3 linked regions of the Ovis aries genome follow. The protein of the gene in region 1 binds, or shares a complex with, the protein of each later gene. Links are inferred from orthologs where the notes say so. Each region holds a gene or a part of one and is shown in the gene's direction. Other genes may lie near its edges. The genes, in order: GSK3B, AXIN1 and FRAT1.

Region 1 (3,743 bases):
AGTAGGAGGGGGGAGGGGGAGTGGGGAAGAGCTAGGCGGCTGCGCAGACGGCACTCCTCACAGAGAGCAGCCCCCGACCCGGGCGAATGCGGGCTCGTGCTGCTGCTGCTGCTGCTGCTGCTGCCGCCGCCGCCGCCGCCGCCCGGGCCGAGTGACAAAGGAAGGAAGGAAGGAAGCGAGGAGGAGCCGACCCCGCAGCCGCTGACAGGGCTCCGGACTGGGGGCAAAGCGCGGACACTTCCTGAGCGGGACTGTGCAGAAGCGAGGGGCGGGAGGGCGGCCGCGCTGGTGCCTTGGACGGGGGAGGGGGCCCCCGAGGGACGGAAGCGGTTGCCGGGTTCCCATGTCCCCGGCGTATGGGGAGCAGTCGAGGAGCCGCTGCCTGGGGTCTGAAGGGAGCTGCCTCCGCCGCCGCCGCCGCCATGGCCGCTGGATCCAGCCGCCGCCTGCAGCTGCTCCTGGCGCAATGAGGGGAAGAGCCGCCGCCACCGCCCGACTCTGACTGACTCGCGACTCCGCCGCCTTCCAGTTCGCCGGGCCCCCACCGTCAGCCCGCCGGATCCTTGCCGCTGCCGGAGCCGCAGCGTTTCCCGACGCATCTCCGAGCCACCCCTCCCTCTCCCTCCCTCCTTCCCATCCCCCCTTCTTTTCAAGCGTGAGACTCGTGATCCTTCCGCCGCTTCCCTTCTTCATTGACTCGGAAAAAAAATCCCCGAGGAAAATATAATATTCAGAGTACTTATTTTCAATCCAGTATTTGTCCCCGTTTCACGTGATATATATTTTTTAGGATCTCCCACCCATTTCTGCCCTCCAAGGAAAAGGAGGGGAAAGAATTGTAATTTTTTCCCAGCCCCGGATCGTCTATATGTTAAATATCCGTACTGATCTGTCTTCAAGGAGAAATACATCGCTCGCTTTTTTAAATAGCTGTACAAAAGGAGTGAAAAGGCAAGAGGACGAAGTCTTTTTCCTGTGGGAAAACTTAATGCTGCATTTATCATTAACCTAACACCCCAACATAAAACAAAAGGAAGAAAAGGAGGAAGGAAGGAAAAAAGGTGATTCGGTAAAAGAGTGATCATGTCAGGGCGGCCCAGAACCACCTCCTTTGCGGAGAGCTGCAAGCCAGTGCAGCAGCCTTCAGCTTTTGGCAGCATGAAAGTTAGCAGTGAGTATTGATTTTATTTTACACCCCTTCTCCACCTCCCCTTTGAATAAGAGACTTTGAAATACCAGGATCTTAAAATACGAGACCTGCTGATAAAACAGAGGTAATGGGAAAGGGCAAAAACCTGTCTTCAGTCAAGGATGAGGCAGCTTCCTTTTTTCCTCCTCCCATATCCCTTCTCCGGTCTCATTAACCTTGAATCGGGGGAATGGGATTTTTATTTAGATGATTCTGTCTGAAACTTAGTTCTTTTCTTACAGTTTTCTAGCAATTGATAGTCAGCTTTATTAAGTGGTTGAGTGTTTCCACCTTAAAATAGTGATGGAAGTGTTTACTTGCTCATCCTTTTGATTAAAGCGAAGGACAAGACTCATAAACCATTATGTGCTTTTCCAGAGTGTGTCTTTTGGAATGAGGGATAGTTTAGTTCGCTCAGGTCTCGAGGGTTACCATAGTTTTGTATACTTAATGGAAGAGGTGAATGTCACCGTCTCCTAACATTTCTTTCTTACTTGTGTGACTATACAAAGTGTTTGTTCTTAATCCAGAGATGAACTCGCTAAGTAACCACATTTCGGTTGGAAGGCGAGCTTTGATTTGTCTCTTTAGAAGGGACGGGTACCGCTGATAGATACTCAGTAGCAGTAGTATCTCAACATGCATTGTTCTAAATTGGATACGCGGTTTAATATGTTATCTCTTAACCTTACCGTTTTGACATTGCCAATCTACCACTATAGAGTTAATGTTTAATCAAAAGGTAACTTGAAAGTAGGTCCGAGTTTTGAATGGGGCTTATATTGTCATGTTGCTAAATAGTAAGTTGAATGTTAATTGTCACTGACTCATCATTAAAGTTCAGCTTTGGGGTGCCATTGCTTTCAGTACTTGCTAAATGATCTAGAGTTCAGATGTTCCTTCTTAGGACTGCTTACAATACTCTCGCATTGTTTTCCTTTCGAATTCAGATAAGGCTATGAAGTTAGAAGAATATGGATTTAGACTTTATCATCATAGGTTTTGCAGAAGGTTGTGGTCCCAGATTTAATAGAGGTATTTGGGCTTTGTTCAAGGCTGTTGCTAGACGTCTATACTCTCTTCCCAGATTTGTGCTCAAAAAGTCTATTTTGAGTGTTTGGTATACTAAGTATCCAGTGTTTTAACGTATCTCTAGTTATGGATATGTTTATGTGATATTTAATGTCAGTTTATTTAAATATACTTAAAGAATTCGACAAAAATATCTATTATAGTTTCCTTATTCCTTCAGAAAGGAGCATGAATGAGGGCAAAGAAAAACTTTTACTGCTTAGAAGAAGGAGAGAATTGAATTGAGATTTTTTTTAAAAAGGTATATGCTGTTATGTGAAATTGATTATAAAATGAACACTCTTACTTGAACTCAGGATTTCAGTTCATGGTGGCTTTTGGAACTTGTCTGAAACAGGGTAGTCTAAGGTAATAGCTGAATGGGAGATTATTTTTGAGAGTTAAATTTTTTTTTTGGTGACTAGCTAGTTCAGAATGCAGAGTATGTGAAGAGGGAAGCTGATGATGCATCTTTCAGGGAATGGTCAAGCTTTCTAAGCACTTCATGGGGTCATTTGAGAGGAATATTTTAAAATTCTGGGGTAATTTTCAGCTATGATGAAGCAAATCTTATAATAGCTCCTTAAGAGCCTCTTGTGGTACTGGAGTGTTAGGATGTTTTTCATCTTGGTTTAAAGACCACTTGAAATCAATTTTAGGTAATTAGTTTATTCAGAGAGCAGAATGGGATACCTAATAATATTAAATTTGGGGACTTTTCATTTAGTTCACAGGATTTTCTATGAATCCTTTGTGGATGTTGACTGAAGATGGAGTAACTCTTGCAAAGTGCAGGTGAAAATGTTGACTTTTCTGTTACCATATAGGTCAGCTTAACATTTAAAAGATTGGAGTTCAGTGTTGACTATGTGTTTTTGACAACCGTAACTTTAAATACATTTTGGAAGAAAGCCTTTGTTGGAATGCTGGTGTTCTAAGGGACCCCTGTTTAAGCGATAAGAAATTATAGTCCTTGCCTTGAAAAGCTTATCAGTTTTTGAGGCAGATTATGGGACAAAACGTGAAAACAGTAATATGATGACTGCAAGATTATAAATGCAAATAGAATACTTTGTTCAGAGGAACAAAAAATAAAGGCATGAGGTAGATGGCTTGGAGAGAAGACTTCTTACAGAGGTATGTTTTAAGGCAGGTGTTAAAGGAGGCAGTAACTTATATTGAGAAGCATAAAGGATTCTAGGTGGACAGAATGGACAGAGGCACAGAGATGGTGACTTTTGTATTTTTGTATTTATAAAGCAGGTTAGTAAATCTGAATAAAAGGGGCCTAAATAGGAAAATAAGAAGAGATGGAATTTGAGAAATATGTTAACTGATGGAAAGCAGAGGGGGCTTATGATTATGGTTGAGATTCAAGAGAGTTTGGAATTTACTATAGGTTGATGAACAAAATATTTGAAGATGGTTTGGGCAGCAAAGTTGATGAATTAGAAACCAGACGTCAGAGCCCTTTTAGGGAGTA
Region 2 (3,643 bases), on another chromosome or scaffold:
TGTGTGGGAGGCGGGTGGAGTTAGTTCTGTTTGTGTTCTTCTTTTCTGCTGCTCCATGTGGCACGTGGGCTCTTAGTTCCTCAACCTGGGGTCGAGCGTGCACCCCCTGCAGGGGAAGTGCAGAGTCTTACCTGCTGGACTGCCAGGGGACTCCCGAGTGGACCTGACTCTGACCGTGTGTTGCCTGGGAACAGGTAGAATGCAGGTAATTGGACCTTGATGCATCAAGGGTGCCTGTTGGTAATCCCTGAAGGAACCATTGAAAGAACAGTGAAAGAGCTACTCTATTAGAGGCAGGAGACAGAAAATAGAAAGTATTCCAAAAGAAGGCAAGGAGGGACACAGGAAACTAGAACAGCCGTGACTGGCAGCGAGCAGTGAGCCGGCGGGTCCACTCTGTCGTCACACTGAGCGCAGCGGGACCGGAGAAGTGATTCAAAGGAAGAACGGTCAGACCAGATCGTGGGGAGGCCGCTGCTCAGGAAGGAGGCAGAAGCGAAAGGACGAGGAAGTTTTCGAGTGAAAGCGTGGAGGGCGGAGTGCTGCACTCAGCAGCCCCAGAGGCCTGGCGGTCCTGGGGGTTCTGTCGTGAGGTCTCCCTAGATCCCACGTCCGAGTTCCGGTTCCGGCCGTCCTGTGGGGAGCAGCCGGCGGTCCCCGAGTGACGTTTCGCAGAGCTTCCTGTGTCGCGGCACTCTGCGGCGCCTGTCCCGAGGGCTGGCCTCGCTGCCGGGCCCTCCTCCTCTTTCTCCCCACGCACTTTCTTCCCGGTGTGTCTGGACGTGGAGCTGTGTCTGTGCTGGGGTTTGCTCAGCACTGGCGGCTGGGGAAAGAACCTGTTTCCCCTGCTTGTCACCTCAAAGCTGGGTTTCCTGGGCCCCGTCGGGGGAGGGCACAGGCGGCCCATGCAGGCGTTGGGGTCACGGGCTCGGTCCTGCCCTCTTGGGAAGGGTGAGGGCCCGGGGCGTGCGGCGGCTGGCCCTGAGGTAGCGGGACATGGAGGGGCGCCTCAGCTGTCCGTGGCCTGAACTCCAGCGCGGTAGCTGTGTTGGTGGTTGTGTTGATGGTTTGTGTTTAAACAGCCAGAGGAATAGCAGTGCCATTTAGGGAGAGCGTGGGGCTGCAGATGTGGGCTCCACGTCAGCGCGCGTGTGGGCCCAGGATGGCCCCTGTCCCTTCCCCAGAGCCTCTGGGCCCTGCGCCCGCCCTCATTTGGTGGGACCCGGCTGCTGTGGGGGCTCGGGAGGACCGTGATGTGGGGTGACGAGCCCGGGTCCTGACCTGAAGGGGTGGCTGTGTGCACCGTCACCGTCCTGGAGGTGCCGTGGCTGCTCTGCTTTTGTGCTTGGCGCCCGGGAGGTGGGCTGCTCACTGGGGTCTCTCCAGCAATCCTGCCTGGCCCAGCCCAGCTCACGCGTCCTGCGTGCACGGCTCACACCAAGGTGTCCCCCAGGGCCCCGTGGATGCAGAAGTGCTCTGTTCCCTTCTCTGCATCGAGCGCACGGGTCCGCGGAGCCAGTGCGGCTGCCATTCACGAGCGCCCCGACCAGGATGAGGCTGCGGTCAGAGCCCTCCTCATCATGTGCCCCCTTCGCGTGACCTTTGGGGACTGACCACCGCTGCTTCCAGGCGGCTCAGGGGAGAGCAGGTGGTGCCGGGAGCCGTAGCTCTGAGGGACTGGCGGGGCCTTCGCGGGCTGAGCAGAACAGAGACTCCAGAAGGGGCGCGTGTGGGGCCAGGTGTGCAGGGATTCAGGGCGCGGCGGTGACGTGCTCAGTGCCCGTGGCTGGCTCTCCATTCCGATGCAGAGGAGTAGGTGGGTTTTACATGCACGAATTTCAGGTAGCGATCTTAGAAAGCAGTGAAGTACTTGGAGAAGAACTGAGGGATATGTTTATGATTGTCAAATGAGGAAAGTTGACCTATGTAAGATACAAAAAAAAAAACCTGTAAGGAGAAAGATTGGTAAGTCTGATTTCACAGAAGTAAAGTTTTCTAATACCAAAATCGACATAAAGTTAAGAAGTGACATTTAGGGAGGAAGTATTTTCACGTATGTAACCAGAGGTTAATAGTAAGAATATTTAAGTGAAAGTCGCTCAGTTGTGTCCGACTCTTTGCAACCCCACGGACTGTCCATGGAATTCTCCAGGCCTGAATACTGGAGTGGGCAGCCTTTCTCTTCTCCTGGGGATCTTCCCAACCCAGGGATCGAATGCAGGTCTCCCGCGTTGCAGGCAGATGTTTTACCAGCTGAGCTGCAAGGGAAGTTCAAGAATATTTAAAGACATCTGTAAATCACTAAGAAACTCGTAAACTGCCCAACAGAAAATAGACAGAAGGTATGAACAGGTCATTTAAAGAGGAAAGAATTAATTTAAGGACATCTCCGTGCTGCCCCTGCTGACCATCTGCCAGGGAAATGCAAGCTGTTAGTGTCGGTTTCTGGCTAGTTTGGCGCCCCACGGTGGCGCGTCCCGCCCGGGGGTGCAGGATGGGCCCTGCTGTCCTGGGGAGCAGCATGGCGGCCGCTCGCACACCCACGGCCCTCGTGCTCGCCCGCGCTGTGCCAATGTTCAGGCTTGTGCCCCGGACGCCTGGCTGGGGCCCTCGTGGACGGCTGTGGCACGGGGCCGGGGCAGGGCGGGTGCGCTCTGTGGGTCAGTGAGTCTGCGGCTGCAGGGGCAGGGGCGCGGAGCTGGTGCCCTATTTCTAGTTACTGGCAGAGAGCACGCGTGTGCTCACGGGCACAGCTGCCCAACTGCACAGGGGAGGCGTGGGGTGCCCGTCTCCCCGGAAGCATGGGGGTGGGGGCAGGGCAGACCCACGGCCTTTTCTGCCCTGTCTCTTCTGAAGGCTTTGGGTCTGTAGTCCACGTGCTGGGGTCACCGGTGATTCTGAAGAGGATCAGTGCGCGGGGACGTGGCCTGGCGGCTGCTAACATACCTCCTTATTGGCAGGTGTGGACCGTGGCGGGAGCCCGTCAACCCCTACTACGTCAACTCCGGCTACGCTCTCGCCCCTGCCACCAGCGCCAATGACAGCGAGCAGCAGAGCCTGTCCAGTGACGCTGACAGCCTGTCCCTCACCGACAGCAGCGTGTAAGTGCCCGCCGCCCCGCCCCGCGCCGCGGGCTGCTCCTGGAGGCCCTCCTGCAGACCACAGCCTCGGTGGCTTCCCTCCAGGCGAGACGCCGAGCCGCCTGGTGGTGCCCAGCCCTGGTCTCGGTGCCGGTGTGTGCAGTACGTCCAGAGCGGGCCACCCCAAGGCATCTGCTCTGTGCTTGCCCCCCTGTGATCTGGAAGCCGTCTCACCCGATTGGCAGGGCTTGTCGTCCCCTCGGTGTGGCTCTGTGCCGGCCGGCTGGGGCCCTAGAAGGTGGCATGAACCCCTGTCCAGGGATGCCTCCCCTGGGGAAAGTGCTCGCTTCTGACACCTTTCTCTGGTTCGCCAATGACTTTGGGGACCTTGGTGCAGGTCAGGATGTGATGGTGTCACACCTGCCCATGTCACACCAGGGCATGGCTTGTCTGCCTGCTGGGGCCCAACTCCACTGCCTACGTGCATCAGGCTTGCCTGCGTTCAGTCACACACCATTTGCTGTCTCTCTGCCCCGACAGGGAGGTTCTGGCTTGGAGCCAGC
Region 3 (3,731 bases), on another chromosome or scaffold:
CGATGATAAAGAATCGTTCTCTATCTCTCTTTCTTTTAAAAAATGAAGTCTTGGTTAATCATTAAACCAACCAGGATATCTTGGAGGGTTACCATGGCCGTGTCTCCATTTCCATCCAAATAGCTGACCGTTTTCCTCTCCTGCTACCCATTTCAGAAAGGATACTCCCCTACTGGGTTGAGTCATTCTTCTTAAAAGAACTTTCTAGCTCGCCGCTCCCCCCAAGACGAGCAACCTCCTCTACAGTAACTGTCCAGGTCCCCACATACCCACGCTCCCGATCAAAAAAACACGAATCAGTGGCTTTTCTTTGCCAATTTCCAATCCGCCACCCCCATCGCACCACAGGGTCCCCTTCCTTTTCATCTGTCAGCCTCGTTTCCCTAATCTCCAGACAGATCCCTAGCCTGACGCCTTCTCTCCATCACTCGCCTCACTCACGCTGCCATCACTTCCCAAATGCCGGCATCCCTAACCTCAAAAGCGTAAATGCCAAAACCAGACACGTTGACGCGCCTAGAGAAGTGTGTGGGTGTGTGGGTGTAAGTGTCTGTGCTTGTGTGTGGAAGAAACCAACAGAGGCCACGCCGGTGTCCATCTTCTGGATATGTCAATCATGCCAGGCTCAGAGAGCGAAGATCGGCTCCCCAGTTCCCCCCGCAGACAGCAATCAGGGCTGTAAAGCTCAGAGGGAGCAAGGCTTCACCCACGACTCTTGCCCAGAGGTTGCCCGGGCCCCCAAATGCACGGAGCACCCCTCCTCGGCCCGGTGGTAGGGCCCGGCGGCTACGTCACCCATTGTTTACAAATCAACCCGAGCCGGTAGGATTCCGGCTCCCGCGGCTGCAGGCGCGCGGCGCGAGTGCCTGGCGGGCTCCGGCTTCCGCGTCCGCCCGGGCTCCGGCTTTGGCCTCGGCACCGCGCCCGGCTTCGCCGCGGCCCACCGAGCCCCCGGGACAGCCGAGCCGCCAGCGACCCCCGCACAGCTCCGGGTGCCGGCGCCGGGGGCCATGCCGTGCCGGAGGGAGGAGGAAGAGGAAGCCGGCGAGGAAGAGGAGGAGGAGGAGGACAGCTTCCTACTGCTGGAACAGTCGGTGACTGTGGGCGGCTCGGTTGAGGTGGACCGGCTGGTGGCCCAGATCGGCGAGACGCTGCAGCTGGACGCGGCGCAGGACCGCCCTGCCTCCGCGTGCGCGCCCCCGGGGCCGCCACTGCAGCCCCCGCGGCCCCCGGCGGCGGTGAGAGCGGACAAGGCCCGGGCCCCAGCGCAGCCGCTGCTTCTACCGGCCGCGTCGGTCGAGGCTGGGGGCCCGGCGCCCCCGGGGGCCTTGCGCTGCGCCCTCGGGGACCGCGGCCGCGTGCGGGGCCGGGCTGCGCCCTACTTTGTGGCGGAGCTCGCCGCAGGCCCCAGCGCGCTGTCCCCATTGCCCCCTCAGCCCAGCCTTGACGGGCCTTTGGGAGCAGACAAACGGGGTTCCCCGCAGCCCCTGTCGGGCCCTTGCCGGCGAGGTTGGCTGCGGGACGCCGCTGCCTCCCGCCGCCTCCAGCACCGACGCGGGCTACAGCCTACAGCCCGCAACGGCGACGACGACCCGCACCGGCTCCTGCAGCAGCTCGTGCTCTCGGGAAACCTCATCAAGGAGGCGGTGCGGAGGCTTCATTCGCGACGGCTGCAGTTGCACGCAAAGCTCCCCCAGCGCCAGCTCCTGGGCCCTCTGTCGGCCCCAGTGCATGAGCCCCCTTCGCCCCGCAGCCCTCGCGCGGCCTGCAGCGACCCCGGCGCGTCCGGGAGGAGGGCGCAGCTCAGAACAGGCGACAGCGTTCTAGTCCCTGGCAGCTAACACCTCGAGAGTGGCCACTGCGCGAGCCTCTGCCTGAAGGGCAAGGGGTTCCCCTGAGGGCTATATCTCTACTCAAACTGGTGAAGTCGCACTTCCGGAAGCGGGAAAATACCTTATATGAAGATGAGGAATCGAAAAATTGAGAATGTGTTCGCGGGAACTGAGGTCTAGGGCCCCGACGTGGTTGACTTCGTTGGTGCCACTGAAGGCAGATTACAGAGTGCACCCCAAGCTCGCAGTCAGTAGGACTCCTCACTGGTGTGACCAGCCCTGGTGGCGCAGCGTGCGGTTCCACGCAGCCTCTCGGGTACTCTAACCTGGCAACCACGTGGCCGGAGTCCATGCTTCACAGGATCGCGGAGCGCCCAAAGGCCAAGGATGACCCCAGTTACTTGCTTTACCTTTCCAAGGCTGGTTCCTGATTCACTTTAGGAGAGGGGAACATTTGTAGATCATTTAAGGGAGTACCTCAAACTGCCAGACTTGAAATTTTACGACACTTTAAAAAAAAACAAAACACCTATCTCGTGTATTTTGAGGTGCTTGTACTTGGTATAAAACACGCGGCACCGTGAAAGGACATTTTGGAGAACTGAATAGAAGTAACCTTTTCTCTGCGAACCCCCACCCCACCCGCTTTGCGACTGTCAGCGTTTCTCAGAGCGGCGGGGGAAGGCGGAGCACCTGGGATGCTAATTGGACGTGGGGGTGAGAGGTCCTGGGGAAAGGTGAGGGCGCGGCGCGGAGCGAACCCGCGGTCCTCTTGAATGTGTATTTTCACCGTCTGTCCGCCCCTCCTCGGGTTCAAGGTCACCATTTCCTGGGCGCAAACGAGATTGCGGGGCTCTAGCAGGGCAGAGTCACCCGGTTCTGCCTGTACTCGGAGTAGTACGCGGTGTTTTGCAAGTGCTGGAGTCTTCTGAGGACACGGGCACCGCTGCCACCGCGGGTTGAGGGAGGTGGCGACGTGCTAGGCGCCGGTGCCTCCTGCGGGCGGCCGCGCCCTGGACTTTGACGGAAACTGCCCGGAGAACTGGCCTCGAGTCCCTCCTCTTCCCCTCCGCTGTGCTGTCCAACTCTAGCTGGTGGCGCTGCCGCTCCTGGGGGCCCAGGCTGGGGGCTGGGAGACACCACGTGATGGGGCACTCCAGGGACACACAGCCTAGCGCAGCAGCTTATAATGGGCTCTCCGGGGCCATTTGCAATAACAGCTGCAATTCCCTGGATAGATGGAGTTGATTTCCTCCTTCTGCCCCTCCCCCCAGCCGTGCCAGCTTGCCTTTGTAAGTGAAGGAAACCGAGTAAAAAAATGTGACCCTCCGAATGGAGAAGCTGCAGAATTTGCCATTGTGAACCTGGTGAAGTGCTCGTAACAATGTTAACGCAGTCTAAAGGCTCTAAGACGGTATTGTTGATGTTTTAGTTGTATAAGATTCAATGGCATGTTCGTCATCCAGATGTGGCTATTGACATACCTACACTTCGCACCGGAGTGTCTGGAATTGTGGCTATCCTGATTATAGGATGTTAACTTAACTGAAATATCTGTTTTTAATAAATGTGTTGGTTTTTTTGTTTGGTTTTATTTTATACTTGTCAGCGGTGGGAAAGATGCACAGAACACATTTCTCTGATCTCCATAAACATGAAAACACTTGAAATCCTTGTCAGGCCTGGCTTGTGGATGGTAATTAGAGCGCCTTTGTGTCTGAGCAGCTCCCTAGTTAGGGTCTGCGCCGGCTGGGTGTGTATTGGTGCTGGCATGAAATTAAATGAAAGTGAGGTCAGGATTTGGACCAGTCCCATTCACTAAAACCTTAGAGCTTCTGGATTACTAGTCAGTGCTGGAGAAGCTGCCCCTGACTGTATTAGCAAAGGACATCAGATCAG

The links.
Region 2: the proteins of GSK3B (region 1) and AXIN1 are in contact, whole or in part, in a crystal structure (PDB 4B7T), measured with the Homo sapiens proteins. The link is inferred for Ovis aries from reciprocal best matches to the Homo sapiens genes GSK3B and AXIN1. Residues at the interface, in NP_001139628.1 of Homo sapiens: Ile228, Phe229, Val263, Asp264, Leu266, Val267, Ile270, Lys271, Asn287, Tyr288, Phe291, Lys292, Phe293, Pro294, Gln295, Ile296; in NP_003493.1 of Homo sapiens: Glu384, Pro385, Gln386, Phe388, Ala389, Glu391, Leu392, Ile393, Arg395, Leu396, Glu397, Val399, Gln400.
Region 3: the proteins of GSK3B (region 1) and FRAT1 are in contact, whole or in part, in a crystal structure (PDB 5OY4), measured with the Homo sapiens proteins. The link is inferred for Ovis aries from reciprocal best matches to the Homo sapiens genes GSK3B and FRAT1. Residues at the interface, in NP_001139628.1 of Homo sapiens: Tyr216, Ile228, Phe229, Ser261, Gly262, Val263, Asp264, Leu266, Val267, Ile270, Lys271, Thr275, Pro276, Ile281, Tyr288, Thr289, Glu290, Phe291, Lys292, Phe293, Pro294, Ile296; in NP_005470.2 of Homo sapiens: His200, Leu202, Leu203, Leu206, Val207, Ser209, Gly210, Asn211, Leu212, Ile213, Lys214, Glu215, Ala216, Val217, Arg219, Leu220, His221.

The regions. Positions count from the first base shown.
Region 1 is NC_056054.1:185,712,921-185,716,663, reverse strand, and holds the start of GSK3B (glycogen synthase kinase-3 beta), read left to right. Parts: upstream 1-1,083; coding exon 1,084-1,171; intron 1,172-3,743. UniProt on the Homo sapiens protein: Constitutively active protein kinase that acts as a negative regulator in the hormonal control of glucose homeostasis, Wnt signaling and regulation of transcription factors and microtubules, by phosphorylating and inactivating glycogen synthase (GYS1 or GYS2), EIF2B, CTNNB1/beta-catenin, APC, AXIN1, DPYSL2/CRMP2, JUN, NFATC1/NFATC, MAPT/TAU and MACF1.
Region 2 is NC_056077.1:858,743-862,385, reverse strand, and holds part of AXIN1 (axin-1), read left to right. Parts: intron 1-2,960; coding exon 2,961-3,101; intron 3,102-3,643. UniProt on the Homo sapiens protein: Component of the beta-catenin destruction complex required for regulating CTNNB1 levels through phosphorylation and ubiquitination, and modulating Wnt-signaling.
Region 3 is NC_056075.1:18,395,995-18,399,725, forward strand, and holds FRAT1 (proto-oncogene FRAT1), read left to right. Parts: upstream 1-832; 5' UTR 833-1,010; coding exon 1,011-1,841; 3' UTR 1,842-3,414; downstream 3,415-3,731. UniProt on the Homo sapiens protein: Positively regulates the Wnt signaling pathway by stabilizing beta-catenin through the association with GSK-3. May play a role in tumor progression and collaborate with PIM1 and MYC in lymphomagenesis.